2 linked regions of the Nothobranchius furzeri genome follow. The protein of the gene in region 2 interacts with the protein of the main gene of each other region in a pairwise test. Links are inferred from orthologs where the notes say so. Each region holds a gene or a part of one and is shown on either strand. Other genes may lie near its edges.

The links.
Region 1: the proteins of pcsk5b (region 2) and nufip2 interact in binary tests that used the Homo sapiens proteins (3 or more experiments, as listed by UniProt). The two-hybrid records come from large-scale screens. The link is inferred for Nothobranchius furzeri from reciprocal best matches to the Homo sapiens genes PCSK5 and NUFIP2.

The regions. Positions count from the first base shown.
Region 1 is NC_091750.1:49,395,164-49,412,127, reverse strand, and holds nufip2 (FMR1-interacting protein NUFIP2), read right to left. Parts: upstream 8,422-16,964; 5' UTR 8,326-8,421; coding exon 8,178-8,325; intron 7,971-8,177; exon of another isoform or gene 7,835-7,970; intron 7,422-7,834; exon of another isoform or gene 7,286-7,421; intron 6,882-7,285; coding exon 5,250-6,881; intron 4,884-5,249; coding exon 4,851-4,883; intron 4,685-4,850; coding exon 4,632-4,684; 3' UTR 4,135-4,631; downstream 1-4,134. Other genes in the region: glycine receptor subunit alpha-2, read right to left, coding at 11,124-11,396, 11,480-11,575, 11,870-12,028, 12,111-12,325, 12,403-12,540, 12,626-12,708, 15,053-15,276. UniProt on the Homo sapiens protein: Binds RNA.
Region 2 is NC_091757.1:46,944,922-46,961,151, forward strand, and holds the end of pcsk5b (proprotein convertase subtilisin/kexin type 5b), read left to right. Parts: intron 1-1,030; coding exon 1,031-1,231; intron 1,232-1,706; coding exon 1,707-1,775; intron 1,776-6,533; coding exon 6,534-6,594; intron 6,595-6,666; coding exon 6,667-6,812; intron 6,813-6,969; coding exon 6,970-7,176; intron 7,177-7,349; coding exon 7,350-7,433; intron 7,434-8,012; coding exon 8,013-8,199; intron 8,200-8,283; coding exon 8,284-8,498; intron 8,499-9,589; coding exon 9,590-9,832; intron 9,833-9,931; coding exon 9,932-10,165; intron 10,166-10,236; coding exon 10,237-10,417; intron 10,418-10,489; coding exon 10,490-10,707; intron 10,708-10,841; coding exon 10,842-10,942; intron 10,943-11,150; coding exon 11,151-11,355; intron 11,356-12,869; coding exon of another isoform or gene 12,870-12,934; exon of another isoform or gene 12,935-13,206; intron 13,207-13,228; coding exon 13,229-13,638; 3' UTR 13,639-13,976; downstream 13,977-16,230. Other genes in the region: rfk (riboflavin kinase), read right to left, coding at 15,691-15,863, 15,986-16,088. UniProt on the Homo sapiens protein: Serine endoprotease that processes various proproteins by cleavage at paired basic amino acids, recognizing the RXXX[KR]R consensus motif. Likely functions in the constitutive and regulated secretory pathways.

The sequences.
Region 1 (16,964 bases), on a different chromosome or scaffold from region 2:
ATATGAGCCATGATAACATTTTAAGTTTATTTAATAGGTTGCCACCTAAAGTTCATAACCTGAGTAAAGGTTCTAACTGATGGGGAGGTCCTGGACCAACACCCCACCCAGCAGCACCACAGAGGACAACAGTCTCACCGTCTCCGTCCCTTTTAAACCTCCAGTCCAGCTCGGGTTCCTCTCAACAGAAACATCACACTGGTCGTGGACATGTGTGTGTGCTCAGTCTTCTCTAAACCCCCAGTGAGTCATGGCGGATGGCTGCTCGTACAGAGCCAGGTTCTGTTGGGAGGTTTTTCCTGTTAAAGGGAGTTTTCCTCTCCACTGTCGCTACATGCTTGCCTATTATGAAGATCGCTGTAAAGCGACACAAGTCAGTGACTCAAATCATTTTGCTGGATTTCTTATATAGGAAACGTTTGACTAACTGGCATAATGAATTGAGCTCAGTAGCAGTTTATTTTGTCAAACGCCTTGAGAGGAATAAAACCAACTGATTATATGTAAAAGCATCTAAAGACCATGTATACATGGAGTTGTGACAACTGCAACTTAAGTCGTCCATTTCAATGTCATTAAAATAAACATTTTAATTTCAGTGAAAACTTTTTTCTGGAGTTAAATTGAAACTTTAGAAAATAACAGATCCAATTTTAAGTTGCTCCATCTGTAGCAGAAAGCAGAAGAAAAACACTAAAATTCCACCTTTACTAATTAAAAACACAAAAACGTCACCTTCTTCCAGAAAGCTCGACAGTTTAATGAAAACTAAAACAGTGAACATGGGAGTTGCTTTTTTTTATTGACTATTACATTTTTCAGAATTTGAGGGGTTTTATCATCATGCTTAAAAAAAACATTGTAATGTGACAATTTGTTAAATTCGACAAAAGAACTTTTTAAATAAATCAGGCTCACTGAAAAACAGAAATGCCAACTTGTAAGACATCTGAGACAGAAGTTCGACGGCCTCGTCGCTCCGAGCCAAAGCCGATGGAAAAGTAATACAAGACGGGCAAAGAAATTAAAAAGCATAAGCTCAAACATCATTTGAGAGGAAATTAAAATGTAATTCACCACAACCTGCCTGCATCATGTCTTCTGATTAAGTCCTGAAAACACAAAAAACCCCTTTAGTGTAAAAGAGGGAGAGTTTTTACGTGAACACGGCGTCCAGCATTTCCCCGTTACGGGTGACCGATAACCGGATGAAGAAGCAGCACTTCGGTATTCACCTTTTTAGATTAAATCGTTTTAGGAGCTCTCGTGGCTCACACAGTTAAACGAGACATTCAGCTGCTACATTAGAGTCTCCCCCTCACCCAGCAGCATGTCGCGTAACCATCGATGACATCACGCCGTTCCATAGCCGAACGTCTGATTAGTGTACCTTTGGCGAAAGCACCTGCGCGGTAAAACCTCAGTTGCCCTCAGAAGACGATCGACACCACAAATAAAATATATTAGGAACTCTAGATGCAGTGGATTTTAACGCTCGTCACAATTAAAGTGAAGAATTACAACAATTCTGTGTAAAATCTGCAAGAAATGTTCAAATATATTAAAGATCGGTGCCAATAGGGTCAAATAAAACCCACAGGGAGGGGTTTAACATCAGCCTCAATCAACTAAAACATCTAATATAAAACATCTGGACTTTCTGCATCACTTATTGGTTTAGTCTACCTGTGCAGCTATGGATAAATTAGGCTATAAGTCAAGAAATTAAAATAAAACACCTTTAAAATGTGTTAACATTAACGCGATAAATGAGTCCAAATTAAATCATTATTTGCTACAAGAGACGTTATTTTGATAAGGTCTGGTATGAGTATACACCAGCACACACACAGCCGTCCGCTCCCCCCATTTCAGCGTGATTTTGGCTTCAGGTCGCGATTCTGAATGCGAGCCACAAAACAGAAAAAATAAAAATAAAAACACACCCAGAAAGTTTTATAAAAATACGCCAACGCGTGCGGCTTCTCACCGTTGTTCCAAGAAAAGAAGATTGGGATCAGCTGTTAGAAAACTGAAGCAAAGGGATATCAAATGGCACGGATATATGCTGGAAGCAGGTTTTTGAACAATCACAAGTATCGTTAAAGTTAGTTTGTTCTCCCCCTCCGCCTCACACAGGCACCTGAACATGAAACAAGGAGGGAGGGGAGAGCTTCTAAAGAAGGGAGGAACTTGCATATAAGAGGAAGAACGAACACACACACACACTCCATCGCTCCCAACCTGGAAGCCAGCATCAGCATCCTTCAGGTGATTGCACATCCTGGTGAGAGGGAGAGTGGAAATAAACTGATTTTGACACAGACACACACACACACACACACTTTGGTTTGCAGCCGTAATATGAAATCTGAACAAATGGATCTTCATTGCTGCTGTGTACAATAAGTGCTTTAAAAATGGGGGGTGGCTAATAAAGTAAATATTAAGACTACAGTTTAACCCTGTTAACAACCAGACTTACTTCTATTTAACTGGATCAAGTTTTTGTTTTCACATAATCAGACTAAACTGTGGCAAAAAGGAGAGAATGCTACTTAATAACATCCTTCATCAGAACAGCAGATTGTAGTGACACACACACACACACACACACACACACACACACACACACAGGCTTTTTAACAACTAGAGCATCATGACAGCCTTTATAAAAACTTCAATAAAAGCTGTTGCACTTCCAACCTTTTGTGAACAGGCGGGTACGAACTGGGATAGAACCAAGTTAGCCCTCTGAAAGAAAAACCAACACACACACACACACACACACGAAAAGAAACCAGCAAAGATGGCGAGAACACGGTTAAAGATACAGAAAACATGTTGTGCTTTCTCAAAGAAAAGAAAACTATTTAGGCCAAAAAAAAAACTTTCATCCAAAGATTCTTTTTGGTGCGTTTTCCGAACGTCGTGCGTCTCCGACTCCGTGTTTCCAACAAGAGACCGTTACAGGACAGGGGCCGTTTGGCAAAACACAATAATCAGTATATCCATGGCTTATCGACACTACCTGAGTTTCGTTTAGTAATTCTGTGTTTAGCAACGTTTTTATGTTTTAAGTAACAGCGCAGAGCCATTCTTTCATAGATTTCTATAGCATTTAAGATAAAGGTCATCTGTTTACATAAAGTGCCAGTAATCCACACGTTAGCCAGATCAGAACAGAATTCAGGACCGTTTCTTGGAGAGGCTGAAAAATACGTATCCGCTCTTAAGGATTAAAACAATGTTGCCGCCAACCGGGAGGCAGTTGGGATAATTTGGGATCTCCAAGTTATTCCCTAGATTTAACGAGACCTGGAGACAAATAGAAGAGGAAGGAGCGAGGAAACTGTGCAACAAAGTGAGGATGCACTAAAAATAATAACCTAAACTAAACTGCAGGCTACACGAGCATCTCAGGACGTTTTGTAGCTCCGCATAACACATTTATGATGTTATTGCACACTAACAGGTTAATCCACAGCAAAAGGTTTGACACCACCCGTCTTCACATTTCAACACAAAGTGGCGAGCTGGGGACCCGAGGTTCATATTGCAATAGTTGTGTTACTGTTGTGATGAACAGTGACTCATTTACACCTGTAAACAAAAACGGTTTCCATAAACAAGAGCTGAAAACGAATGCGGACCAGATGAAGTGTTGAGAGATCCTGAGCGTTGCAGCTGAATTAGAAGCAGAGAATGGAGAACAGCTCAGAAGTGAGTGGTTCTTGTCCCGGGCCGTTCCGAAACCCAGAACCGGAATTTGACAACAGCCTGTGAATATCCGACGACCGTCTGTGTGAAATGTTTCAAAACTTCTGAATTTAACAGAGACCTGGTGGTGTCATAAGCACACCTGATGTTAAAGGGGCGGAGCTTTCCTTTAAACCCATCACTATCTGAGCTGGGTGGGGTGGGGGTGGCGGGTCATACAGCAAATTATATTCGGGTTAGTTCCGTTGAAAACAGCATAAAAAGGAGCGGTAATACATATAAAACTTCTGGGCTCTGCGTAGTTTCTCCTGTAAAGGATTTTTAAGACAAAGTTCTCCTTTTTCCTGCATGGAGCCTCACAGGCTTCCGTCTCAGCGGAACTCCCGACACCTTTATTCCACAACATAAAGGCTGTTTTTTTTTTTTTTTTACAGATCTTTCCTTCAGCATGAATTCAAGCTTGCACACGGAGGTGGAACGACTAACATATCTACAGTGAACTCATCTGAATGCATGAAGAACGAACATGACCGAGGCGTCCCGCAGCTGGGCCACAAAGCCGCCACAGTTCAACGGGATAAAGGCTTACGGAGGTGCGGTCAAGGACACCTTCCTTTGTCAAACCCAGAAAACTGTCCCATTAAAAGCCATGAGACAAGGACCACCACAGCTAGGAAGTTGCATTTGTCCATTTGTCAGAGTGGAGAGGCACCGATCGACTCGTCTTTAGCGTCCATCCAGAGTGTCCGTTGGTTTGATGCCCACCAAAAAATTAAAGTTTGAGTACGCCCGAGATTCCAAAGGAAATCATGCTTAGCTGTCAGTGTTTTCACAGTTGTCGCCACATCAAACATGATTTTTACTTTTTTTTGTTGTTTTCGTCGGCCCAGGTAGAAAACTGTAGATCTACCTCACTGATCAGGTCCATCCTTGGTCTCATCATAAACCACTACTCTTTTTGGATCTGCAGCAAAGAAGAAGAAAGGTTTGTCAACATCACATCCCTCCCACAGTCACGTGGGATTCATGACCGCGTCACTGAACAAAAACCACTAAAACCAATGACTAGTGATGCTGGGCACCCAAACACAAAGCAAGTTTTAAAGTCAAACTTAAAACGGTTTATTTACCTTGTTTTTGCACGTTAAAAATGGATTCCATTTCTGTTTGAGGGAGAAAAACGGAAATGTGTTAATTCAGCATCTCTGGTGTGTTCTCTGGTTTCCTCTAGTTAAAAACTTGGCAAGTTGACAAAATGTTCAAATGCAATTTTAAAAAAAAACCATCATGTTATAAAGTCATGCTTAAGTTTAAAACGTTGCTAGTTGAAGTTGGAGTTTAAAGGTCACTCGGGCTGTAAACCAACTTCTAGGAAATCTAACCAACACACTCGGCTGTCACACGAGGAAAGCTTGGAAAATAACAGCAAACTGGGGTTAGTTTAGTTGGCACACACACCAGTTATTACCCATTCACAGGACGCCATATTGTCACCAATATGTTTTACAGATAGAAGCGGACACCGTTACCTTTAGTGTGATAGGCGACAGCAGCTTTAATGTCAGAGGGCCCCCAGCTACACCTCCTGCTAGCGTCGTTCGGGTGGACCACTTCTTTAGAAGAGCCAAACAGCACAGTGGTCTGCTGGCCCTGAACAGGCTTAGCACCATTGTCTTTACAAAGAGCCGAGACAGAAGAACCTTTGATCTCAAACTTCGTTTTGTCCTGGCCAAATGGCGGGAACTTTGTCTCCTCCTCAAAAGCAGGAGAACGAGCGTTTGACGCTTGGCAAGGGGCACAAGTCCTTCTCTCAGAGTCTTTGAACAAAGTTCCAGGCTCTACAAATATTGGGCTAACATCAAAACACGGCAGGACCACCTTGTCTTCAACAGTCTGACTCTCACTTGGAGAAGTCCCAGAAGTCTGGTCCTCAGCAGGAGGATGCCCGTTTCCTCCCTCCAGCCCCAGGTTGGGCTCGTTGATGAAAGAGAGCCCCCACTGATTCTGGAAGATGTCTCCCAGGGCTTTCTGATTTGTCTTAGCAGCCGGTGGGTCGAGGTGACGAGCACTAGGGAGCACAGGTTGCATATTTAAAGGGTAGATTAACAGAGTACACTTTTTAAGCTCGTTAGCGTCTCCATCTACAGGACTTGTTGAGCTACAGTTACTTTCCAGAGAAGATGCTACATTCTCGCCACTTGGGACAGACAGGGCTGATTGAATACAACTAGCAGCAGGAACGAAGAAGGTGCCAGCAGACGGGCAGCCGTTTCCATTTCCAGAAACAGGACCATTAGTAAAGCTAGCTGAGGTGATAGTTTTCATAGCAGACATCGGGACTTGAGACAGTCTCATGGGAGGAGGAACCACTTCTCCACTTTGAGCTACTTTATTGAGGTTCTCTTTTACTTTACTTGCATAACTGATCTTAGGAACGATTTTAGCACTGCTATTGTCCACAGGAAATACGGGAGGGGGCTTGAACAAAGTCCACGGGTCCTCCTTTGAAGGAGAGGAGAGTTTGCCTTTGTGCCGTTCCTCTGTTTTCTTACCAAAGGTGCCAGCTGTTTTGCCATCGGAGTTTTTCCTTTGAGATTCCCCCACTGTAGTCTCGGGAACGACAGCTCGTTTGGCAGCAGACTGGGTAGATCTGCCTTTCTCAGTCGCCTCAGGATTCAAAGCCCCCAGCTCCTGTGTAGTGTTGCGGGGCTGCATGTCTCTCTCTTTTTCTTTTGTCACATTATCAGTGTTCTTGGCATTGTTACACCTGGTCTTGCGTTTCTTCGGAGTGGTGTACCCGCCTTCGGATCCGCTGCCATCATTGTCCCTGCTAGAATAGCCATTTGTAATGAAGCCACAATTTACGACACCGTTGTGAAGCAAAACAGAGTCTTTCTTATCCAAGCTCTGGAGGTCATCGTGAGTCAAATCCAGAGTCTTTTCCTTGTCATTTTTAAAGTCCATATTCTTCTTACGGTCCAGAAATTTGCTGCTCGCTTTTGGAGCAGGCGTGTAGAGCTTCTGCGCCCCTTTTTGCTTTAGACTGGCGTTGTGCGCATGTTTGTTACCATTGCCGTGGGAAGGAAGCGACATACCAACAGGATCAGACAGACGTAGATTCCTCTCTCCTTCCTCGTCGCCAACGTTTAATTTTTTATTGCCTAAAAAAAAAAGGAAAGAAAATAAGACGATGTGGAAATGATAGGACTCTACAGACACCACAAAATCTAACAACTATACGTTTATGGTTTGCAGTTTCTTGGAAAGTGATGTTTTAAGATTAGCCAAACACTTATTATGCTACAATTATCACAATGTATTAATGGCACACCGCATAGGAAAGGTGGATGGATACAGGAAGCACAGATTTACAGTGAAGCATCATGACTAGGCCTCTGAAGGCTCAGATTCGTGGGAAGTGCTGTGTCAACGTGGGACTTCCTACTCCACAGTGCTTCTCCACCCCAGTAACATTTATTGGCACAACACACCTCACATTCCTGTCACAGCCAAAACAATTAGTTTCATTTAGCAAATGTACATTTTACAGCGACTGTCAGCTTACGTTCGCTTAATGCTGACAGAGCCTGATCAGCTGCGTGGCTTCTCCAGACAACATTCAAAAGGGCCTGTCAAATGGCTAATGTCTGCTAATATCGCCTAGCTAGTAGCGGACAACGATAACACCACAGTACCGGTCGACAATGACGCGTAAAAAAACGTCCACCGTGTCGTTGTTGTCCATATTTTCCTAACTAGCCGGTTAGTGTTGCGTTAGCTAACTGTGATATTCTGACATGGCCGACCGGAAATGGCTGCACAGAACATTCCAGCGGAGCCGGCTCGGTTTCCTACACTGCACAGAGCTAACTGGAATAACATCAGTACAATTTAGGCCACTGTTACAGAAGAGTTGTTTTGTTTAGAATACAGAGGGACATAAGCGGTGTTTTAGAACATATTCAGCTACATAAGCCATTTAAAATTAGGCGGTGAAACCGGTGTTGTGCCGAAAAAAAGCGCCCCTGCCATCACTAGCACTCTTAGCGCAGAAAGCTAATCCCAAGGTATGTTCTTTTACCAATACACCGAGTAAAAGTTACAAATGACATACCTCCTCGTGTTTTTCTGGACCGCTGAGGACACAAGTATCTACATTTATATTAGAAAAATTAATAAAGGGTTCTTTTTTTCGGCACGGCACCGGCGCACAAGGTCAATCTGCGATCTGTCAAACCACCAGCAGCGACAACGCTCACGCAACGTCAGCAGATAGCGAGTATAATGTGTGGTTTCTCGTGTGACACTGGCTGACTATCTGTCTGATTAACCAGCTGCTCCGCCCGTCCTCAAAACTATTCGGGGCAGCAGCTAGGAGCTAGCTGGCTCCCAGTTACGTTAGCTAGCGAATGCTAGTCGGCTCATTGACATTAGCCGACTTTTCAGGGCGGCCCGACCTGTTTTCTTCGTCTGCGTTTCCTGATGCTGGCACTGGAAGTGGCTCTGATCATTTTTCAGACAAGCTGTGCGTTGAGTAGAGTTCCTGTCCTCCCCGTGGTGGTGGTAGTGCCTGTCTTGTGCCCGATCTTTGGGCTGTTCCTCCATTGAAGTGAAGAATGTCGGACGCGTTCCGCCTGTGTGTTATTAGCTCTCAGTCCAATCACTACCAGAGTCAAACGGAAGCTATTTGAAGCCTCTGTAAACGTCAGCAGTAAAATGTCTAAAAATGGCCCTGTTTTGGGTGGTCACTCCTCTGAAACCCACCTTTAGAATCAACTCCTAGGTGCTTAAAGAGTATTTCATAAGACTTTAAAATGTGCGCACACGTAGAAGTTTAGGATAACACGGGAGTGATTTCAAATTATATATATATATATATATATATATATATATATATATATATATATATATATATATATATATATATATATATATGGAGTGTGAAATAACGGGGTGGGGTTCGTGGAAGAGCCTAAATCATATGACCCGAGGCGCTGCCACGTCTCCAGCTAGTTGACACATTAGGGTCACAAGAGACCAGCCCCCTCCAAAAATGGAAAAGCAGTTAATTTATTTGCGTTATACAAAATTTTCTTGCTGCTGCCTAATGCATATATGATCAGCTTATTATAAGAAAAATTGACGTGTTTGTAAAATCATGCACATTTTTATTTTTACATGCTTTACCTGGCTGGAATCACACAGAGCCACATTTAAGGAATAAAAACACTGATTATTTGATAGACAGCATATCAATATTATTTATGTATTGCTTTGATTTATTCAACGGTAATTATGAAATAATAATAATAATAATAATAATTATTATTATTATTATTATTATTATTATTATTATTATATTTTTGTTGTCTTGTGGTAGTTGTAATAATTAAATAGTCGCGCCAGTGACTCCCTCTAGCGGCTAAACATATAATTTTCTAATCTCGCTTTAGAGCAGGAAAGGAAACACAAGGACAAATGAATCACCTAACTTCACCATTGTCTCTGGACTCAGAATAAAACCCACACGTATATAATTTAGCTCTACCATTTCTTTCTTTTTTCAACATGTCTCAACTGATGTCTGAAAACTGTGAAAGTTAAGTATCTATAGTAAAATAGACCACGCCTGTTTTAGCCTGACACTTTTTGCTGATATGTGCAGCCCTACTTCACCTTTAAAATGTGCACGTGACTGCTACTTTGACATAAAATATTCATATGACTGCTTCATTTAAAGGCAGGTTTTATTTTTTAAACGACAGGTTTTAGTGAAAGGGTTCTCTCCAGGGCACAGACATGCAGTATCTTTAAAATAAAAACGGTGTTCTGGCAGATATCGAGGGGTTTAAGATGCATTTTCTGCTGTGATATTTTTATTAACTCAGAGAAAAAGTTTTAGTGAAATTTTAGATTAGAAAGGAATTCATGGAAGTGTGGATTTAGTGTAAAGCACCTAAAAAGCATGTTAATATTTCTGACTAACAGCTTATTCTGACTGAAAATTAAAACATTAAAAGTACTAAAGCATTCGTATTTATTTTAATCCATTTCTTAGTTTTAGATGTATCAACAAATTTTAGGGAAGTAATTTGTTTAGCACTTTAAGTTTCACACAAAAAAAGGAATTAGATTTTTTTTTGTATCCTTTATTTATTTTCAGCAGTTAGGTTGTAATGAAATGTAAATTTGGTAAAACGTTACAATAAGGATCCATTTATTAAGTTACGTAGTGCATTATTAAGCTTTAATAAACTATTATTCAAAGTATTACAGCTTTAACCATATTATGTAATGCACTACTAAGCAGTCAGCCTCTAAGAAATGATAAAGAAATAATGTGTGGATAAAATAAAAATGCAAGTTTGAAGTCAGTCACCTTACTACCAGTCTTACTCCACCCACACTTCCTGTTATAATAATAATAATAATAATAATAATAATAATAATAATGCATTGAACTTATATAGCGCTTTTCAAAACCCCCAAAGACGCTTTCACACACTCTCACATTCACACACTGCTAGTGATGGTAAGCTACTTGTAGCCACAGCCGCCCTGGGGAGGTCTGACAGAGGCGAGGCTGCCATTTGGCGCCGTCGGCCCCTCTGACCACCACTAACGCTCTAAACTCCTTTTTAGCTCTAAACAAAGTTTGAGGAGAAAAACGGCTTTTTGGATTGTAAATGTTGCAGACTCCTACTCTAGATGGTTGTGCAACTGATTCTTTTTGGACCGTGATAGTGGACCTGTTGCAGCAGACAGGCACCATAGCCTTAAGGAGACGTTGGTTCCTCAGCAGAACCTCTCAGAACCTGTGATATGGGTCCAAGCTGCCTCTGCAGCGTCCTCCTTGTGATGAATCAGGACAGCAGTCAATCAACATCTTTCCTTTGGCTTTTCAACCTACTTCAGGGCTCACTGTCTTTTCAAAATAAAAGACATTCTGAAGATCCACTGTTATTTCAGACTTTATTATTTAATTTTTCTTGGATAATTTCTGTAAGATAAAATATTAATGTCTTAAAAATATAGATATATTCACTCCTAGAGTTATGCAGTAGAAATGTCAAGCCTGTAAATAAAAGTGTGACAACAACACAGCAGTAAGTGCAGCTCAGTGATATCTGTTATGTCTCAGTGATGTGTTTGGAACCATGACATTTAGGAGAATAACTGTTTGTTTCAGTTGGAATATAAGGATTTGATCGTTTCTGACTCACTGTAAATTTTAAAAAGTGCACGTCTGGCAGAAATAAAATGGAAAACAAACCATCAGAGTTGCATAAAAGCCAGATTTTTGCAGTGGCATCCTGCATGCAGTCAAAATGCATCTTATCTAGGGACGTTCAGTCTGTCAGTTTCAGTGAAGAGAAGTCGTGTCTGCCGTCCTCGGGGTGTCTTCACAGTGTGAGCTGGACATCCTCGTGTCGTAGAACCTTGTAGGTGAGCCAGTAGAGGACATTAAACATGAGGAAGCTCATGGGGAAAAGAGCTCTGGAGATGGTGTCGATCCTTTTTGCCCGTTCCACGAAGCGTCGCCGGATTTCATAAAAACCTAAACCAGGAGGTAAGTCGGCAAAGACCGGGGTTGCATCCATCTCTGGTGCAGTTCCTGCTGACAGAGCGAGTCCAATGCTCTGGAAGAGAAAACCCTGATGGGCCAGCTCCTCCTCCTGGAAAACACAACCAGACTTACTGAGACCCAGTTTGGGGTTTGACCACCTGCTGTTTGGTTGAACGGCGAGACGGCACACACCCTGGCACAGGCGCTGCAACGCTGGCTCACACTCCCATGATACGGAGTATTCCCTGGCGTGTTATTTCCCTTCACCTTACTGTCACTGCTGCCCTGCTAATAGAGAAGAGAATACACAACTTTTAATAATAAACAGATGCTTTATTTAGGAAATAATTTTTCCTAGATGGTAGACTCAGCCCACTTCTGCTCCCCTTTGTTCTCTAATATCCGACACAAGAACGTTTACCAACAGTGAAGTGAGGTGACTTGCATTAACCACAGGCCACTGCTGGCTGCCTTTCCCAGTCGGAGCGCAGCATGCAGCTGAACTGTTGCTCCTGCATAGCTGGGTGCAGGCAATAGCAGGTGACAGCTGCCCGAGGGCCTGAGTGGGTGGCTTGTACTCACAGTCCTCAGCCTTTGCTGCTCTTTGAGCTTCTTCCTCAGTCGGAAGAACTCCTTGTGCTGCCGTGAAACAAAGTTAACAGCTGCATACTCTAGCAGCGCCGCAAACACGAAAAGAAGACACACTGCCATCCAGATGTCTATGGCTTTGACGTAGGACACCTACAGAAGCAGAAAAATAATGTGTTTAGGAGGGTAAACTCTGTAAGGGTAGTTCTGTAGAATGTTAAATAAATAGTCCGACCTTCGGCAGTGAGGCCCTTGAGCCTGAGCTCTGCGTCGTCATTGTGAGCACAGTGGTGATCCCTAACCCCACTCTGGCCGGAGCGGCGTCCATGTTGATCCAGAAGGACACCCAGGACAGGATGACGGTGAGCAGGCTAGGTATGTACATCTGGATCAGGTAGTAACCCATTTGGCGCTCCAGGTAGAATTTGACCTCGATGCAGGTGAATTTGCCTGAAGACAGGAGGACAGTGTCAGCAGATGCTGACAAACCCAGAGTTTAGGACATCGTCCGGCTCCGTGTCACATACCTGTGTTGTAGTATTTGGTGCAGTAGCCAAGACCTTTCTCCTCTTTCAGCACAAACTGCGGGAGCATCAGGTCATCAGCCACCTGCACTGCTCCAACATCCAGCCACTCAAAGATGAGGTCATTCATCGTGTATCCAACTAGAGGTGGATAAAGGTGCACAAAGAGCAGCATGTTCACTGACAAAGTTTGTGTCCTTCTTATGGCTTTAGAAGATGAACTCACAACTCTCCAGCTGCATAGTACACATCTGGCTGTCCATGGGGAAGTTCTTCAGGTCCATCGGACAAGAAAGAGTGAGAGTCAGCCTGAAGGACAGAGACAGCAGTTATTGTGTCCTCATGTGAGTGTTTTCATCCAGGGTCAAAGGTTACATTTAAAGTAGACCTGTTACGACGTTTTAACAAACATATTGGCTCCATGACCTACATAAAATGTGTTTGTGAAGTTCTTTGCTCAAAAACCTCTCTCACATAAAGCAGTTTCATTAGTTTATTCTTGGCAGTTTCAGTGCCTTCCAGAATGAGCCGTTTCAGAGCTCTGTCACTTTAGGAAAAGAAGTCAGAGCTGGCCAATCCCATAATAATGCCCAAAATGGACCGACTGGTTGTCCCCGTCCTTTTGCGTAACCAGGTTCGGGTCAACCATTGAGAACTCTGGCTCCAACATTCTTCTTTGTTATTTTCTTCTTATCCAGCAAGGGCATCAGAGGTAGCTCAGGTTAGCATTAGCAGTAGCTCAGGCTGCAGTTGGCATTATCATGACTAACGTTGGTACAGGCAATGTCACAGTGGGTTGGATGTTAAACCAACTTTCTCAGAGCAAACTGTTTCTCCATGGCCATTACAGCATTTCTAATTTACATGGGAAAGCAGGTTTGAGACAACAGAGGCTTTTCTCATGGTACATTAAACACCACAAAGTTCCCTATATTAAACAACAATAACGTGCATGTGGTTTTAAAGGTAGATTACTCATTTAATAATACATTTGCAGTGGTCTCAAGTGGGAATGAAAGCCTTGCAGGCAGAACTCAGGGCACAGAGAGCTCACAAACCCATGGGCCAGCAGGACCAAGTCTGCAACATCAAAGCTGAGGTCTGAGCTTTAAACTTTAGGACAGCCTTCATTTCAGAAACCAGTAGGGAAGTAGGAAATATTATGATGCGTTATGATGCTGATTCAACATTTAAAAGCAGTGTATTCATATTTTATTGGGAATGTGCATGCAAACATTAACTGAATTTCTTTTGTGTGGTGCAATTTAAACTCTGACTGCTAGGTGGCAGCAGTTTTGACAGCAGAGTACTTTTCCAGAACACTCAGGTCCTTCATGGTTTGCAGCAAGATGCTGCATGACTTCTATAACTATGGTGAGGAGAGTCTCTTGGCTCATCGCCTGTCAGGGTAGCAGCATCAGAGTCAGGGATCGATAAACATAAACCTGATAAAACATGATACCACCGTGCAGCAACAACAGAGCATCTTCAGTCAGAGGCTTCTCCAGACCTGCTGTATTATTATTGCTTGAAACAATATGTGTTTCTACAGCATTTAATTTCTTCCTGGGATTATTGAAGTATTTACACATTTGAATTTTTACAGCCTCTATTCTGATGGAACATTGAGATAGGCCTGGCGTTTCACTGATTGTGAAACGCCAGGCCTGCGTTTTCTAAAGTGAATTCAATTTTAAAAATGGCAAACGTCACATAGCTTATTGTGTCCCCTGTGTTGTGATATATATATATATATATATATATATATATATATATATATATATATATATATATATATCATATCGTATCGCCAGATTCTTGCTAACACACACTCCTAGAAACCAGCAGGAAGCCGACGTCTTGTATAACTCAGCTTTATGCCTGGTTGCCTCACCGCTTTAGCGCCACTTTACTGACCTGATTTGGTGTTAGCCTGCAGTTATGGACCAACATTACCTTGTTTACAGTGCGTGCTGGATGGTGCAATTACAAATGAGCTCAGACAAACATAGCAGGGCGGGCAGAGAGCTTAAAGTTCAAGTCACCCCCAAATCAACTTTTTTTTTGCTAATAAACTCCATAAATGAGTGCCTAATCATGCTGTAGACACTCGTAGTGAATACTTTGGCACTTTAGTGCATCTTAGTTCAAATGTAAATGTTCTGCCTAAAACTGTTAGTGTTGTGCCATCTTCAGGTAAAAACTCTGCACTGCATTTGAGTTTAAATCCGCCATCGCTATTGGCTAAGAGGTTTACTATGACCTTAGCTGGTACATTATGATGTCACATTGTCGTCGTGAGCCTGTGTGTGTGTGTGTGTGCGTGCGTGCGTGCGTGCGTGCGTGCGTGCGTGTGTGTGTGTGTGTGTGTGTGTGTGTGTGTGTGTGTGTGTGTGTGTGTGTGTGTGTGTGTGTGTGTGTGTGTGTGTGTGTGTGTGTGCGCGCGTGTGTGTATTTGTTAGCAACTCCACCCTCTTGGTCTGCCAGGCAACAGCATTTGTTGCATTTTTCAAACAGGAAGTGGGAGTGGAGTGAGACTCTGGTAGGGGGCGACTTGCTCTTTAAAGTTTAGATGTCAGCTCTTTGGATGCAGAAGCTCTTGTTAAGTGGAGAGCCCGATTGCATATTATTAAAACCATTTCACACCAGTCACCTGATGCTGTAGAGGACATTTCCATTCTGGAATATCCGAAGAAGTTTGTTGTCTGTCGTAACTTCGTGGAAGTTTGCTCCCTTTTCATTTGCAAAAAACAGGTCAGGCTTCCAAATGGAGTCCAACATGGAGGGGTCCAAATCCAGGGAGTCGTCCGGATATTCCTTATAAGCCAGTCGTGGGTCGTTCCACTGTTGCCGAAGAAACACGTTAAGCCGGTAGTCCTACAGTATGCAGACAGGGTTAATCAACATAAAAGGGTCAATTTGAGAATTAGACACATTTATGAATATTATGCAAAGCTAATAAAAGTGAGAGGACTAAGAACAGAAGCAATAATTATATAAACCTTCAGCTTTTAGGCGAGGAAACAAAAAACAGGAGGCAGGAAGACGGACGGACATAAGTGCTCCTGACCTGAATGACAGTAAACAGCACTCACCAGTTCATGAATTAAAATTTAAAGGCTTCCAGTTAGAGGTATTTTAGTCACCTTACTCCAAATGTGAATAAATCAAAAGTTAAAAAGACACCTTCCATGTGTCATAAATAAAGAATACCATCCAGTTTGGCAGGAAAAAAACTCACGAAGCAATCTGAAGCGTCACAGTTAATAAAATAAAATAAAATATAAAAGAAACATTCTGAGATTTTTCACACAACACTAATGCAGCTGCTATTGCAAAATAAAATCACAAAATTTGATGCAACTAAAAGGAAACACTGTTAAAGTGTACCTTGTTGGATTTTAGCAACAATTCCAGAAACCTCTGCTCCACTACGCTTACGATAGTCGACCATAAAAATCACAGATTTGTGCAGGATGTGGGTCAGAATAGGGGTTTCCTTCTCCTGCACATAAAACTACTCGTACAGTAAAGTAGTTCAGCTCCAGGAGCTACGATGAAAACACGCAGCTTTGTGTTCAGACTGATGATTCAGAAATAATGCCATGATGAATGAATAATGCATCAGCCTCAGGGACCACATGGTACTTTCACCTCAGTCCTTGGATGTTGGTTGTACTTTACAGAAGAATGGATTTTCCATCTTTAACAGATGGAGGATTGCTTTACTTCCTAAATTCTTCAGAATGCAGTACATTTACTTACAGTATGACTACTCTGTAGTATTTTGGCTCCAGTAGAGGATGAGAGCTCATCTTCCTTGGGTGGTGAGATATTATTCTTATGCTTTGTGACACGACTCAGTGAAGCGGCTCCGCTAATAGGAAGCATTATTCAGAAACGCAAACCTTTAGCATAATATTCCATTTTATTATCATCTTCCGAAACATGACGCATGTGAAAGTTGATCAGATTTAAAAGTTTTCCTACAGCACTGAAAGAAATGTTAGCACATTTATTATCTAAAAATAAAATAAAATCTTTATTTGAGGCTTCAGAGGTTTTGTTTTATTCTCTTTTTAAATGTTGTACTGGGTGACTTTAAAACTACTATTGTGGTAACTCCTTTTAAAATCTGTTCTAAAATAAGCGTTGGTCAGAGAGTATTGTGTAAATAATAAAGTATTCTGTTCAAAAACAGAGGTTTATGTGCATATTTTAAAAACAATTATTCAATATTGTCAATATATTCCTCAAAGAACCTTATTAATATTAACTTTACTCCATCAATTTATTCAATAACATACAACTGCCACATTGCAGAAGTTGAAGCCAGAGGAAACTGAAAGGCCCCCTAGTGGCTGGCTGCATTATATGTTTTAAGCCCCGCCCATCTCCATGTAGCTCTGAGACTTGATAAAAGATGAGTCCATGTGTTTATTCCTAATAATTCAAGCAGTTCCTAATTTGTTGTTGCATGTTTTCGTTTTTCTTTTCTAATTTTCTTTTGTTTAAAATGCTATTTGATGCAGAAAATATATAGAAATTGCTATGACTTTGTTTGT
Region 2 (16,230 bases):
TTGAGCTTCCCCCACTAAAGCCAACAACACAACCCAAAACTATCAGAAAAATGCTGGGTTTCGAACCGTCTGTTGATAACACACTGAATGGCTGCTCCCCTTTTAAGTCCTCAGGACACGTTGTCCATGGTTTCCATTCCAATTTTGAATTTTGCAAAACGGTTTTTCCCTTTTGCCTCCGACCATTTTAAATAAGCTTTGGTCCAGAGGAGATGCTGGCGTATCTGGATCATGTTTACTTATGACTGCTTCTTTGCACGCTGCAGATTTATCTTGCGTTAGAAGACTGCACGGCAAACTGCAATGATTTCTGGAAGTATCCTTGAGTACACCATTCCCTGTTTTTATTGTGCAATGCAGTTTTGACCTCTGACCTTGAAAATGAGATAATATTTTCTGTATTATGAATTGTTTCTGATAGGTTGTTTATGTTCTATAGCAAATAAAGTATAGGATTTGTAAATCACTACATTGAGTATTGATTTACATTTTACATAGCATCCTAAACCTTTTTGAACAAGAGTTATAAAATATACTCTAAAGCACCTACAATGAAGCTCTAAACCCAATTCCTGAACGGTTTCAGTCTACGTCACACCCTCCTGCATCTAATCAAAACAACCATTCCAACACAATAGAACCTAACGACCTCAATGACTCCTCGTGGGGTAGGGAGGAGGGGCATTCATAGGTAGTTTCAGCTTGTTATGCGACAATAGGCAGCTTCAATTTATCCCATAATCCAGTCAGAATTGACAAAGCTCCTCTAATGAGAAGCGAAACGTCTTTAAGAAACCAAAAAAGTCCAGCAGACTTTATTCGAAGCCTTTTGGATTACCATCACCTGGATGACTGAGAACCGTCATCAGCATACTCCATTTTTAAAAATATGTGCATTTGTGAATAACCGTGTCAGATGTCTTCTGACACGTGCACCAAGAATACTCTTCAGTCCTTCCCTGAGTGTGAGTCCGCCTGCATACCTGAATAGTGCATCAGCGTTTTTCACCTGTACTTTGTCTCCACACAGACAAGTTCGGCGTGAGCCGGTACCTCTATCAGACTCAGTGTCGGGAGGTCTGTCCCGAGGGGTTCTTCCACTCTGAGAGGAAGCAGTGTGAGCCCTGTCCCAACGAGTGTGTCATGTGTGCTGCAGCAGATCACTGCCTGCGCTGCGCCGCTGCACACAAGCTCAGAAACGGCCACTGCTTCCCACTGGAGTGCAGCGAAGGTGAGGACGGGTGCAGACACATAAAATAACAGCTTAACTATCTTAAACATATGTTCATTTCTGACACAGGTTCCAAACCTTGTATGTCATCTCCTCAGAATAAATGCAGCAATAACTAATATTGCAAGGATTCTACACAGGATCACCATTACAATCTAAACCACAAGCATTTTACCAAACTAAAAGACAATTATGCACAATTATTGGTCAGCTAAATGATTTATTGCAGATTATTTTCCTATGTTAGAGTTTCTGTAACCAATAACACACATCTTTCTGAACTATTTACTGATACACAGCCTCTCTTCTTTTTAATATGTGAATTCTGTGATCGTATCAGACATTTTTAATAAAAAGCTCATAGGTTCGCAAAATGGAAATAGTATTTACTCTCATTTTCACATGTTATAAAATAAAACATTGTGTATTTGAATCTTTTTATTTCACTAATCCATAACTTTACACCCTTCATCAGCGGAAGTTTCAGATGCAGAGAAGGAGGACTGTGGCCCCTGTGACGATGGCTGTGAGAAATGTCAAATCCGTAAGTGGACTGCGGTTCTGTTGTTGCTTGACATCTTTCTTATATTCCTAAAAAATAAAACATTTAAAACACAACGTAGTGCATTTCTATATAAGAATAGAATCAGCAGTGTAATATTTGCTCACCACTGAACATTTTCACAGATGAGACCTTTATTACAGCCTTGAGGAGCGAGGTGCACTTGAGGGGATTTGTGGTGCTGAATGTTGGCAAAAGTACGGAAGAGGTTTAGGGTCACTGAAAATAAAAAAGAAAAGACAAATAATTCAGACTTTAATGTCAGAATTTTAATTTAAAGGGATACTATGCAGTTTTTGGCTTGCTTTTAGCACCCTCTAATGTCCGTTAGTGAAAGCAAAATTGTAACTTATCTCCTGGCTGTGTGTTTGTTTTTTTAACACCTTAATCTAACAGCTGAAATGCCTCCTCAGCCTTTATTAGTGTCTAAGAGCAGTTCACTAAAATAAATTAGCTGTGTTTATGATCTATAACATGCAGGAGGCCTGCTGGAAGCAGCTCCAGGCACGCCAGCTCCACTTTACCAAGTCCAACAGGTAGCAACCCGCCACTCTGAAGTTGCAAGTGCGGTATTCTGGCTACAGAGGGTGGTGGGGGGTCTGAGTGACTTTTTATAAACCCTGTAAAAGGTCGTTTTAGCACATACTGGCTCAAGAAAATGATTTTAAAATATAAAAAAGTCTCATATTATTAATTTAATCTCAGAAGTTTTACCTTTTTTTGGAATTCTGACTTAAGTATCAGTATTAAAAAGTCTGAATTCTGAGATTAAAGTCAGAAATCTTTTATTTTTTCTTTCTAGTGGCACCAATCACCCTCCATAGAGAAAGGCTTTGTGTTGCTGCAGAGATTAGAATTAAAAACTCAATTTGAGTTCAGAGTCAAAACTGAAAGGTTGCTGTTCAGGCGAGTTGCCATAAAATGTTGACCTCACACTACAAGTCCGTGTGTGGTCTCTGCAGAACCCGCCACATTAAGACAAAAGCACTTCTTCCACTCAGACACAACTATCACTAACGTGGAAAGTTGTTATTGTGGAGTGAACCCATCTGAGGAGGAGACGGGCTGTTATTATGTCATTATGCATTCTGGCTGGAAAACATTTCAGCCCCCGTTCAGACCTCCTGCCACTCAGCCACGACCCTGCGCTCTAACCAAACCAGCCTGGTAGATTTCAGAGGATTGTCCCCATCCTCTTTTAACATGACACTGTCAGGAGGATTGGACCCAAAATGCAGAACATCACAACTCAAGGCTGGAGAGGTCGTTTAAAATAAAAATCCTTTTATTAGAAAAACCAAGACTGTAGGACTCTAAGCAAAGAATAACTAAAGATCTGTAGATGGAAAAAAACAAAAGCTCACTCATGAGCCAGGAACTATAAATCTGTAGAGGGCAACGCTGACATAAGACAATGAACCGACAACCGCCGGAGACACAGACAGGGTTATACACACAAGGCTGGGGTGATAGGAGACGAGGAGCAGGTGCGTGGGGAACTGGGTACAGGTGAAACTAATAACCGAGAGGAGGAGCAGAACGGAGCAGGGGAGGAAACCAGACCTAACTGGGGAGGGGAACACACACACACACACACACACACACACACACACACACACACACACACACACACACACACACACACACACACACACACACACACACACACACACACACACACACACACACACACACACACACACACACACACACACACACACACACACACACACACACACAAGGAGACTAAGAGAACATGGGGAAAACCTGGAGGGGGCTAGGGACCAAAGGGACACAGAACACGACAGACACTACAGATAGATGCGTGCATACTCCTGCTTACTCTAGTCAGGGGTGTCAAATATGCGGCCCACGGGCCAGATCCGGCCCGCAAGCGGGTTAAATCCGGCCAGCGAGATGGTTGTGTAAACTTTATTTTCATACTTCACGATGTAGAGTGAAAATAAACTTATCATTGTGAGCAAGTTTCCTCTGTAATGAGTATAAATAAAACAAAGCTGTGCTCAAGGCTCACACAAGAACTTGAATCACATCCTGAAGTTGGCCGCCACTCAGGATGTGACTTCTGATATTGATGTGCTGGTGAAAGCTAAAAGATGTAAAGTAAAATGAGTCAAATATACTTTAAGTGCTGCATGAAACTGATCTTGCCATGTGATCTGTAAGCTCTTTCAATCACTAAGGAATGTTTCTTTTATTAGTTGATTTTTTTATGTGTTGATTTTATTTTATTTTTTTCAAATTTTCAAGTATACTTCAGGTGTTGTACATGTACTACACTGTCCTCAGGCTCCAGCCTTGTTTTATATTGATTGTATTAAAACAAAGAAAACAATCTGAAGTTTTTTTTTTTAATTTACCGGTCCGGCCCACTTGGGACTAGATTTCCCTCAATGTGGCCCCTGAGCTAAAATGAGTTTGACACCCCTGCTCTAGATGCTTTAAAGCTTACATCAGACCCCCCCCCCCCCCTTATTTTTTCTTCTCATTGGTTATTTAAAAAAAGGGGTAAAGATCATAAAACTGAATCAAGATCTGATACAGGTCAGACTTAATGTAATCCCAATGACATGATTTAGATTAAATCTGCATTCTTTATCCTGGAAGTTATTTAACATGATCATTCAACCAATAGAAAGCTATTATACTTACACCTTATCAAAGAATGCACCTGCCCGAGCCAAATAGCTTTATTACTTTTTAAACTCATAATTATTATGTCTGCTGTCCTCCCAACAATCACTTTTTCCTATAATCTGTGCTGAGGCATGAAAATATTCTAGAAATGGGTTAGTCATGTGTTTTTCTTTATTTGATCACTGGAAAGGTCTAAAAGATCTCATCTCTGTCCCGTCATCCTTGGTGCATATTTCAAACCTTTTTTCTGTCTTTCTGTCAGTGAGCAGCGTTTAGAGTCCCTGCAAATGAATCCGAAAGATTGTTGTTCATTTTTGCTGACTGGAGTGATGATTTGTAGTTTTCACGTTTTCTAAACCGCAAGCCCGCCGTGCTGTTTTGGATTGATGTGTGAGACAACCACCACCGTCATTAAAACACCAAATGAAGGACTATATTTTGGAAGATGCCCTCCAGCAGGGTTGCACTAGAAGTGGAGGCAACATGTGGAGGCCCAACACCTTACTGAGACATTTATTATGGACCCTGTCTTTATATTTGTTGGTCTTTTCTAATCCTTCCCTTTAAAACAAAATGTTTTCTTACAAATCTTAATGAATTGGTAATGTAGTGTGCCCAGTCAAAGCTGTTAATCCTCTTTATGTGGAGCCGCTCTTTCCGCTCTGAGGCCTGCAAGCTTATCTTCAGCTCTGACCGACTGAAGCTCTTGCTGTGCTTGATCCGATTTACACGTTTAACTGATATTTATTATTTTTTTTCCAGCATTTCTTGGTAAAATCCAAAAGTGACTATTTTAAGTTCTGAATCCAACTATCGTCACTCTTGACTGAGTCCCTCTTCAGCGTGTCTAAATGCATGCACGTCATACGTGTTTCCCATAAAGGCTGCTGTGATATACGGCTTTGATTGCATGTACACAGAAAAAAAAACGTGTGCTTGCACATTCCACAAGTCAATACTTCAGGATGTGCACGCCATCTGAACCCCCCTCCTCCTTCCACCAGATTGCACAGTTAATATTTATGCGGGCGTTATTTTCTCTCATAGACACAGCCTGGAGGCATGATTTCCGGCTCCTCGCTCGCGTTTGCCTATACCTCCGTGCCTCCCACCTCTCCATTTTTCCAGGTCTCTCCCTGTATGAGTAATTGCTTTCACAGGTTGTGGCTTGTTGACTGCATTGAAGTGCAAACCAGTGCAGAGCTAAGTTGTGGGTGCTGGAGAGAGACAGCAAGAGGAATGGGCTGTGGGGGTCGATGGAGGTTTTTCTTGAGAGGATTAATGTCCCGGGGGAAGGTCTGCAGAAGTGTCTCTTTAAACCATCCTTTACCTCCTCTCCTTGCCTGTCTGATCATCCCCATCCTCCTTTTTTCTTGTTCTCTTGCCAAACTACTTTTTCTCTCTCTGTCCTTGGAGATTTTTTTGACATTGTTGAACCAGGAGATGACAGAGTGGGCCTTCCATAGTTACTAGTTGAATGGTTTTGACTGACGGCAGGGATTAATTAGTTTGAGGGGAGCAAACTTCCTTTTCGGTGTGTGTGTTTGAGTGTTTGTGAGTGTGTGTGTGTGTGTGTGTGTGTGTGTGTGTGTGTGTGTGTGTGTGTGTGTGTGTGTGTGTGTAGGCACACAGTACAACATCCTAAAATCTCTTGAATTCTTTTTTTAGTATAAAAAATCACAAAAACAAACAACTTCAACCTTCTGTGCACGTTTTTCTTGTGTAAAGCAAACTGCACCTGCAGCATAAACAACACACACACTCGCAAAGCTGGACTCAAAAATAAAATCAGTCACACACATTCGTAAGTACCCTCAGAAATGAGGAGTTGTGTCTTAAAGCACTGATCACAGGCAAGAAGAATCTACCACTAAGCTATTGATTAAATGTTAGAGTACCCCCTGCTGGTGGAAAGAGGTTCTACACAAGGAACCAAACTGTGGACATTATATTTATGACTGAAATCTGTTCTTAAAATAGTAAAATTAATTTGAAGTCTGATAAAATCCTGCAGCTCTACATGACGTTTTGCTCTGATATCGGATTTTATATGTTTGTTTTCATTTCTGCATGCCATCTCAGAGGATGCTGGAGACGAGGAACAGAAAACCATGTGTGTTAAATGTGAAGATGGTTTCTATCAGTAAGTGTCCTTAGACTGAGTCAGAACACTGTGTCCGCAGCATTTTTTTTAATTACTGTGTTTGTTCTCCAGGTTAGGAGCTGACTGCCAGAAGTTCTGCCCAGATCGGACCTACAACGTGGAGGACACCATGGTGTGTGCTGCCTGTGAAGATAAACACTGTGCAGTGTGTGACCAGTCTCAGTGCTACTGGTGTGATCATGGATTCTTTGTCTTTGGTAACAGTTGTCATTTTTGAGTTTCAATCAGTTTTAGATGGTGAACTCCTAATTAAAAATTATTTTTAACACTGATTGTTTCAGTTCATCTCATTCGTGTGTGTGTGTGTGTGTGTGTGTGTGTGTGTGTGTGTGTGTGTGTGTGTGTTTTGTGCAGATGGAGAGTGTGTGGACCACTGTGAGGAAGGGTACTTTGTGGATGAGGAGACCCAGGAGTGTGAGCCATGTCACCGCAACTGTCGCACTTGTGGAGGGCCCAGACATGATGACTGTGACTCCTGTGAGGACGGGGTGACACTGTCGGACGGGGAGTGTCTCGAGAGAAGAAAGCTGGTTGTTTGTCCTGAGAAATATTTTGTAAACAGTAAGTCCACACTGACCTGATCTGACTGGTGAATATTTTAATCTTTTGTGTTTCTAATCCAAAGAACAGGAATGCAACATCAGTAGATCACTTCTAAAATGACAAATTGTCTTTCTTTGGACTTAGGACTCTTATTTCTGTCATTCTAACGGTAAAATGTCATTTCTCATCAGATCAGGACAAATGTGAGCCGTGCCACACCTCCTGTAACACATGTTTTGGTGCAGAGAAGGGAAATTGCAGCAGTTGCCACTCTGGTAAATGGTTTCTATGCTGTAGTAAAATGTCTATAAGAACTTGCAGAGTTCAATCAACAGCACACATCCTGATCAGTGTGTGTAGATGTATGTATGTATGTATATATATATATATATATATATATATATATATATATATATATATATATATATATATATGTGTGTGTGTGTGTGTGTGTGTGTTGTGTATTTTCAACTCCAAAGGAGTTGAATTTAACTCAGTTTAGATAACATCAGGTCCCAGTCAAAAATAGAGTAAATGTACTCTTCAGCCAGTGTTACATTTTCAGTGTTAAGTACTTCCTGTTAGTTTTGTCATTAACAACAAACTAGACGAGTAAATGAAATAAACTCCATGTAGAGTAGACATGTAACACTGCATGTCTGCAGAATGTAACACTGACTTTTAACTCTGATGTTTGAGTTGGTTTACTCTTTAAATAGTTGCAAACACTTGGTTAAAATAAGTTGACACTCTATTTTTTTTTTACAGTGAATACTCCATTGAACACAATACAAAGACATTAACCTAACTTCTCTACTAAACTGGATGATTTTATAACTTTTTTGTGGTTTTAGGAAATTTTTTGACACCTCTTCAGTCTTGTCTTTCCCATTGTCCCTCTGGGACATTTGGCGATAAGACAACTGGTCGGTGTGAGGAGTGTCTCACAGGGTGTGCAATGTGCCGAGAAGCAGAAGTCTGCCAGGAGTGTCGCAAAGGACTTTATCTGCAAAATGGAACGTGTGTGGTGACATGTCAGAGGTGCTCCTGTTGTATGACTTTTCGATTTGTACATTCACCCAACAAATGCACATACGAACGCCGTTTTATCTGCTTCGTTCCCAGAGGGTTTCCGCAAGGTGCTGCATGCCATCCGTGTGCCTCAGAGTGCGGATCCTGCAGGGAGACTCCGTCTCACTGTTTGAGCTGCCAGAGTCCATTTTTGCTGCTGGATCATTCCTGCCTGTCCTCCTGTCCAGAGGAATTTTATAGAAACAACACAGAATGCCATCACTGTCCAGATCACTGCAGAGAGTGCAATCAGGATGGTCTGTGTAAGAGTAAGTACACTCGGTGGATCAGTGGGACGTAGAAGCCCTCTAATAAGAATTCTGCATAAACAACCTTGAAGAGTTATTGACCGGGATGTTTTAAGTGACAATAAATAAAACTCATCCATCCATCCATTTTCATCCACTTATCTGGGGGTTGGCAGTAGCCGAAGCACAGAGGCCCAGACTTTTCTCTCCCCAGCCACTTGGGCCAGCTCCTCTGGGGGGAATCCAAGGTGTTCCCTGGCCAGCTGAGAGACGAAGCTTGTCCTGGGTCTTCATTTAGGTCTCCTCCTGGTTGGACGTGCCCGGAAAACCTCACCAGGAAGGCATTTTAACCAGATGCACAAGCCACCTCAACTGGCTTCTTTCAATGTGGAGGAGCAGCGGATCTCCTCCGAGCCCAGATGACTGAGGTTCTCAACCAGTCTCTAAGGGAGAGCCCAGCCACCCTGTGGAAAAAACTCGTTTTGGCCGCTCGTAATCGCGATCTCGTTTTTTGGTCACTGGCCAAAGCTCGTGAACAAGGTGAGGGTAGGAACGTAGATCGACCGATAAATCGAGAGCTTCGGTACAACGCCCGCATCACTGCAGACGCAGCACCACTCCGCCTGTCGATCTCACGCTTCATCTTTCCCTCACTAGTGAACAAGACCCAGAGATACTTAAGCTTCTCCACTTGGGGCAGGACCTCATCCCTGACCTGGTGAAGACATTCTACCCTTTTCCGACTCAAGATCATGTTCTCGGATTTAGAGGAGCTGGTTCTCATCCCAGCTGCTTCACACTCGGCTACAAACAAAGACCAAGAATTCTAAATTTAAGCATATTTTGCAGTTTGTGGACATTATGTCAAAAATAATGTGAAAAGAGACTTTACTATTAAACATAACTGTGAAATCAAATAAAACTAAAACGTCTTTGAAATAATAAAATGAAAAAATTCCTCCACTGCATTTAGTCCCTTCTTAATGAACTGAATGCATGTTTAAGTTCGTAAAATCAGACATCATTGAGGTCTCATTTCAATATTTGTGAGCAGGAGAAATTTCAAACAATCGTCATTTATCACCTTGCAAATTTTTTGCTTTCTGTCTCAGAGTGTGCGGAGTATTACTTCCTCCATGTTGACGAGTGTGTAGATGATTGTCCTGAGGGTTACTTTGCCAGTGACAAGCAACAGGAGTGTGTGCGCTGTCATGCTGATTGTGCATCGTGTGACGGGCCAGGCTTTGATGACTGCGACAGGTGTAGCAACACAAGAGCTGTTCGTTACAATGGAGAGTGTCTGGCTAAGTGTCCGAGCAACACTTACTATGACAAGAATACAAATGAATGCAGAGGTAGGAAAAGTGAAATCTGAGAGTGCAACATTTGTGTTATAATCACAAGATTTTTGTCCTTGCTGCGGTTTCCAGAAGGCTTTGTTCTTGTTTCTTCAGATTGTGACAAGTCGTGCTTGACCTGCTCGGGTTATGGTCCATCCGACTGCCTCAGCTGTGATCCCAGCAGGCGCAAGGATGCCAGTGGGCACTGTGTGTGGTACAGTGAGTGCTCTATGGACTCATACATGGACCCAAACGGAGAGTGCCAACAGTGCCACGCACTCTGCAATCGCTGTAATGGTGCAGACAGAGACCACTGCCTCAGCTGCAACAGTCAGCGCTTCCTGCTGAGTGAGTCTTCCGACTTAAGACTTTTATTTCTTTGCATTTAAATACATTTTCATTGCATTTGTGTTATTTAGACAACACCTGTGTGAAAAAGTGTCCCGTGGGTTACTATACTGAGGTCAAAGAAGGGCGTGAGTGTCAGCGATGCCACTTCAGCTGCGAGTCTTGTGTTGGTAATCACAGTCTGCAGTGTGTCGCCTGCAAACCTGGATATTTTAGGCAGGGCGGCAGCTGTGTAGAGACCTGCTCAGAGAGGTAAACAATGCTTATTTAGAGAGGTTTTTTTTGGTGTTCATCATCTAAACTGAAATTCTATTTGTTTTTCAGCTACTTTGGCAACAGGAGCACAAAGATCTGTGAGCGATGTGACCCTTCGTGCAGCCAGTGCTTTGGTCCTGGGAACAGAAACTGTTTGAGCTGCAGGGGGAGCTATGTGTTCATGAAGCAGTGGAGGCGATGCCTGAAGAGCTGTCCTCTAGGATACTACAAAGACAAAAGATCTACCACCTGCTCCAAGTGTCACCCAACCTGCAAAACCTGCAGTGGTAAAAAAAAAGAAAGACGTACTGACGTCATGTGGGATAAGGAGATGAAGAACGTCTGCGTTGTGTTTTTTAGAACAATTGTTTTTGAGTCATGCGATGAGATCGTGCTTTGCTTAAAATTCCTGTCATTTCAGATGAAGGAGCTCTTGCTTGTCTATCTTGTTACGACGGCTTTATGTTTATGGGTGGATACTGTTATAACCCTTGCATGATTGGCTTCTATCCAGCCTCAGAGGTGACAGAAAACATTTATGTTTACATTAACTGGTTTTATATCAACAGTAGGACTGAAACAATTCAACATGAGTCAGAACAAAAGGTTCTTTGTTCCACCACATCTTCCTTTTAAGGAGCCAAACGTCCGCCAAAGTCTTAAACCATTAATGTGCTCTATCATTTTTGCACAGTACTGCACACACATACATGTTTTTGTGTTATTTCAGGATTCTGAGAGTAAAACACTCAAATGTAAAACTTGTGATCCTTCGTGTGAGGGCTGCTGGGGTTCCAGCTCATGGCAATGCACTCTGTGCCCCCCGACCCAGCTCTTATCTGACGATGGCCGCTGCTTGAGTTGCTGTGGAAATCCGACATTTCCGTACGATAAACCAATCCCGAGGGAGTGCTGTGACTGCGAGGCATCCCGAGGTGAACAAAACACTCACTGTGAAGCACATTTTGCAGCTAAAATAAGCCAATTGCTTCATCTCTTCAATGAAATTCCCTTTCACGAATTTGTGAATAGATGTGTTTATTCTTAATCATAAAATGCTTTTTTATGTGTGTAATTTATTTATAAAGGTCTTCCCTCTTTACTTCATCCAGCTGAAATGATTGCCAAAGTTTTAACTTCCAGCTAAACGGCTGTTCCCAGTATTTGATGCGGGAGCATTTCAACTGCCCTTGGCCTTCGTTTCTATAGATAAGGCGAACTGAACGGTTGTGAAACTCACTCAGAAATTCTTTGGGAACTGTTTTATTTTGTCTTTCAAGTCCGAACAAAAAAAGAAGAGAGGTCAATTTAAGAGATGAAAGGGCTACATAGGGGTTAAGAAAAACGTACAAATGTTTGATGTCAGCATTTAACCCCGAAATCCAATATGCTGACATAGTCTCATAGCCTGGCAAGACAGACTAAATAAATGTATTATTTAGTCTGGCAACGCTCCATTGACGGCTCTCAGTTGTGGGGCGGTTGCTACTGTTGTCTTTCAAATGAGCTCTGCATGCTACTGGACAATGAATGTGACATACTCACCGCAACAGCCATCGGTAAATGAGGCGGTCCGCAGTTGAAGAAGGAGAAAACACATCATTTTTTCTAAAAATAAGCTCTTAAATACATCTATCTGCTCCTGATTCTAATGAAGCCCAAGTTCTAATAGTCCAAAATTAATGTAAAAGCTCCATGCTTTCGTTCTTTTTTAAACACAGAAACAGTTTTGTTTACCTGTTTGTAGCTACAGTTTCGCCGACAGCTGCCGGCTTCTTCAGGCTGACGCTGATGGTGGCGCGTCACTTCCTTCTCCGTTTATCTGCGGGCAGCAGAGGATGTTGTCGCCCTCTACTGCCCACTCTCCCCTCTCCGACGATGCAGTCCCATGCGTGTAAACTCCGTCGTCCCTGTTCATGGTCCCACATCCACGTCTCCTTATCTCGATTGCTTCCTTGATCCATCTTTTGTATTTTTGTTGTTCAGTGGTTATGATCCGTGTGCTGTCCCAGTCCATTATATGGTTTTCTCTTATGCAGTGATCTGTTACGGCTGACTTCTTTATTGTACTTTCTGCTTCTTCTTTTGCTGCTCTTGTGTGTTTTCGATTTGCCTCTTTCTCGCACTCCTTTCTGGCAGCCGTCGGCGAAACTGTAGCTACAAAACAGGTAAACAAAACTGTTTCTGTGTTTAAAAAAGAACGAAAGCATGGAATTAGAACCACGACACAGTAAGAACACACCTAATAATGTAAAAGCTGTTTCAAACGAGCTGTCGCCATCTTGTTTCACTCTGTTGCATCATCCCACCCACCAGGTAGATAGAGTGCCCTGATTGGCCCACAAAGCGGATAAAGCGCTGTGATTTGTTCACTAAGCAGATAGAGCACTATGATTGGCCCACCATTATGGAACAGTCACAGCTCTTTATGTGTTTGAAACCCCTCTAGAGAGCTGTGATTGGCCAGCCAGAATGCCGTTAGGGGCTGCAGAGGTTCCAGTGGAGCGTTCCTAGACCAAACTTTGCAAAGCAAGAATTTGGTCTAGTTCACTAGGCTAATAGTCTCACTTACTCGGACACCAAAATGTACTGGTAAGTGGTCCCCTCATAAAAATTAAAAACTCGCTTTAGGTAACTAGCAACTCATATCTTCTATCATGATTACCTGGCCGTTCCACCAGACACTGAAGCGTCGCGTAATGCCTGAAAGAAAACATTGGTCATTCCTAAAAGAGAATTTATATCTGCTGCACACCAAAAATCTGTTATCATTTGTTAATATGCTTTCTCCTCTTCCTTCTTCTCCAGTGGAGTGCATCCTGGGGGTCAACTTTGTGATGAAGACGGTTGATGATGTAAACAGCACTCCTAGACTCTTCATCTGTATTTGTGTTGTGGTTATCCTCTTTGTGGGCCTAGGAATCTTCCTCTTCCTCAGCACTCGGTCAAAGCCTTGCTCCACGAAGCCTAGAACCAGAGCCGGAGGCTACGAGCAGCTGAACACCAACGGGGGCTTCATGCCACAAACCACCACCTCTGCGTTTGGAGAGTACAGCGACAAAATCACGGAATGTGAGGACAACGATGAAGAGTACGTTGATGAGGATATTGTGTACATGACAAAAGATGGAACGGTGTATCGGAAATTTAAGTACGGACTGCTGGATGATGATGATGTTGAGCTGGAGTATGACGATGAGAGCTACACGTTTAGATAAAAACATCAAACCAGTTCTTTACATTTTTCTGTGGTTAAAATTTCCTCATGATTGTGATGTAATTTTTTTCTAATGTGTCCTTTTAGAATATTTTGCACAATGTGTGGCTGAAGCAAGGTGAAACGTTTCTATTTCAGAATTATAGCTATTTAAGTCTTATCACTAACGTCTATAAATGTTTGTTATTGCCAGATTGTGTAACATACTGTATGACTCACAAGAAACAAACTGTTCAGTTCCAGTTTAAATGACAGTTGGTTACCGGACTAGTTATTCATAAATGTCATGTACCATTGTGAACGTTTTCTGAGCTCCAAAAATAAAAAACCCTACAAACATGTAGCAGAAGATTTTGCAAACACTTTCCAACAAGTGTCTCTTTACTAATGTTACTTAGTGCATTATTAAGCATTAATAAACTATTAAAGTATTAACAGCTACTTAACCATATTATGTAGTGCATTACTAATTACTTGTCCTAACCTTAAGGACACTTAATAACAATAAAGGTAAAAGTAATAAAGGGTCCCTTTGTTTATTAATGCTTAATAATGCACTAAGTAACATTAACATAGGGGCTCTATTGTAAAGTGTCATTTTAATTGCTTTTTTAAATTAATATTGAGCTGTAAATAAAAGACTTAACAAGGAAATACAAAAAATAAAGATTTTAAATAAATATGTGAAAAAACGTGTTGGTTTTGAAGTTCGGATCTGTGCAACACTGAAAAAAAGGGGGTGTAATAAAACACAAACTACATATGTCATCTTCAGAAATACTAATTTATATGGTTTAAAAATAATGCAAAAACATAAACGCTTAAACTGTTCAGTCTGCTTGCAGGAACCTACGCTCTTGCAATAACACCAGTATACCGTTGCAACAGACGAGTACAAAAACACCAAAATCATAACAGATTTCTTGTGATATTTTACAGATTTTCTGAAGCAGCACATTTGACTTGAACAAAACAAAAAACCAACCCCCCCCCCCCCCCCCCCCGCACACACACAAAATATACAAAAATAAGAGATGAAGTGATTAACGTGTCAACATTCATGACAATGTTGAGTTTATTGTCTGCATAACATTTAACAGAAAAAAAAGATCTAAACTCTAAACATTAAATATCCCAACTGAAACAAATTACAAAATGGCTAAATAAATCATGATTGAAGGTTTCACCAAATTTCTCAGGCACACACAGGCATTAAATCATCTCACAAGATGTTTCTTTTATAGCATTTGATGATTTCTGCAAAAATCAAGAGACCACATACTTTATGCAGAGTAGATTTCTCTATAGATTTTCAATGTGACGAGTATAAATTAATGTTTAAAGACTTTAAGAAAATATCAAAATAACACGTGGATCCCCCCCTTTTCAAAATTTTACCAATGTTTATACCTAAATAAAAGGTGACGACCTTCATTAAAGCCTAAGTGTTCTGTTCATAAATGAATCTTTTTCATCCATATGAGTCATTTTAAAATAAATTTAAGATAAAAAAAATATACCCTGCAGCAGGTCTCTCAACAAATCTTTCCAAAAATATTCCTAATAAATTAATGCATTATGGTTCGAAACCCAAATGATCTGAGAAGTTTCTAATTTCAGGGCCTAAATGATCAAGACTCTAAAATACAGAAAGGACAGAAAAAGGGTAAAAAGTACAGTTATTTTATGTAAATTCATATCTTCAGTAAGAGTTTTAATTATAGTGATACAACCCACAAACAATAATTGTCAACATTCTTAATTTTTCTTTAATTTAATATTGGTGCAAACTTCTTTACCAGGTGGTAGTACACAGTATACACAGAAAGTATTTATTTCCTCCCCTCTTTAAATGACTAACTATACAGCAGGACTAGTGAGAGGCAAAGAGGCAGACTGGTATGAATATTTACATAATTCATAATCTACTCAAAGACTGGCTGCATTTCAACAGCTGTTAGAACAAAAAAAAAACCTAATAAAGAAAAATAAAAGTGAATGAAAAGGCGGTTGTGGATATGCGCTAGCTTTGTTTGGGTGTCTCAGCCAGCTGTCAGTGACCATTAATGATAGTCTGGGATGTGGATGCGGAGCTTGACGATGATACTGGAGACGAGTTTGTCGTGTTGGTGAAGAAGTGGTCGTCTTTTAGTTTGCGATGCTCTGGGAGCTCCAGCTTGATCTTAGCCTCCTCAATGTCATTATTGATGGCTGCGATGAGAGCTTCTGTTGAGATGGAGATGGACAGAACAGAGAATGTGGGCGAAAGTAGTAAAAAAAAACAAAAAACAATAAGAACTTTGAAACCAGTGTATATTCATCTGAGGTAGGTGAGGAAAAAGGCGTACCGAGGGAGTTGTAGGTCCTCTCTGGGCGGATGAAGCCCACCAAGACGACACTCAGGATATTCCCATAAAAGTCCTCTTTAAATTTGTGAATTATGTGAGTCTCCTGGAATAAAATACATTCACGTAAACATTAATAAGGACTGCAGATGCAGCTATGTTAAACAGGTTTTATTTAAGCGAGAATAACTGAGATCAACTTGTATTATTCCCTGTTTAAGCATCCCAGTCTGAAGGAGCATGGAGGA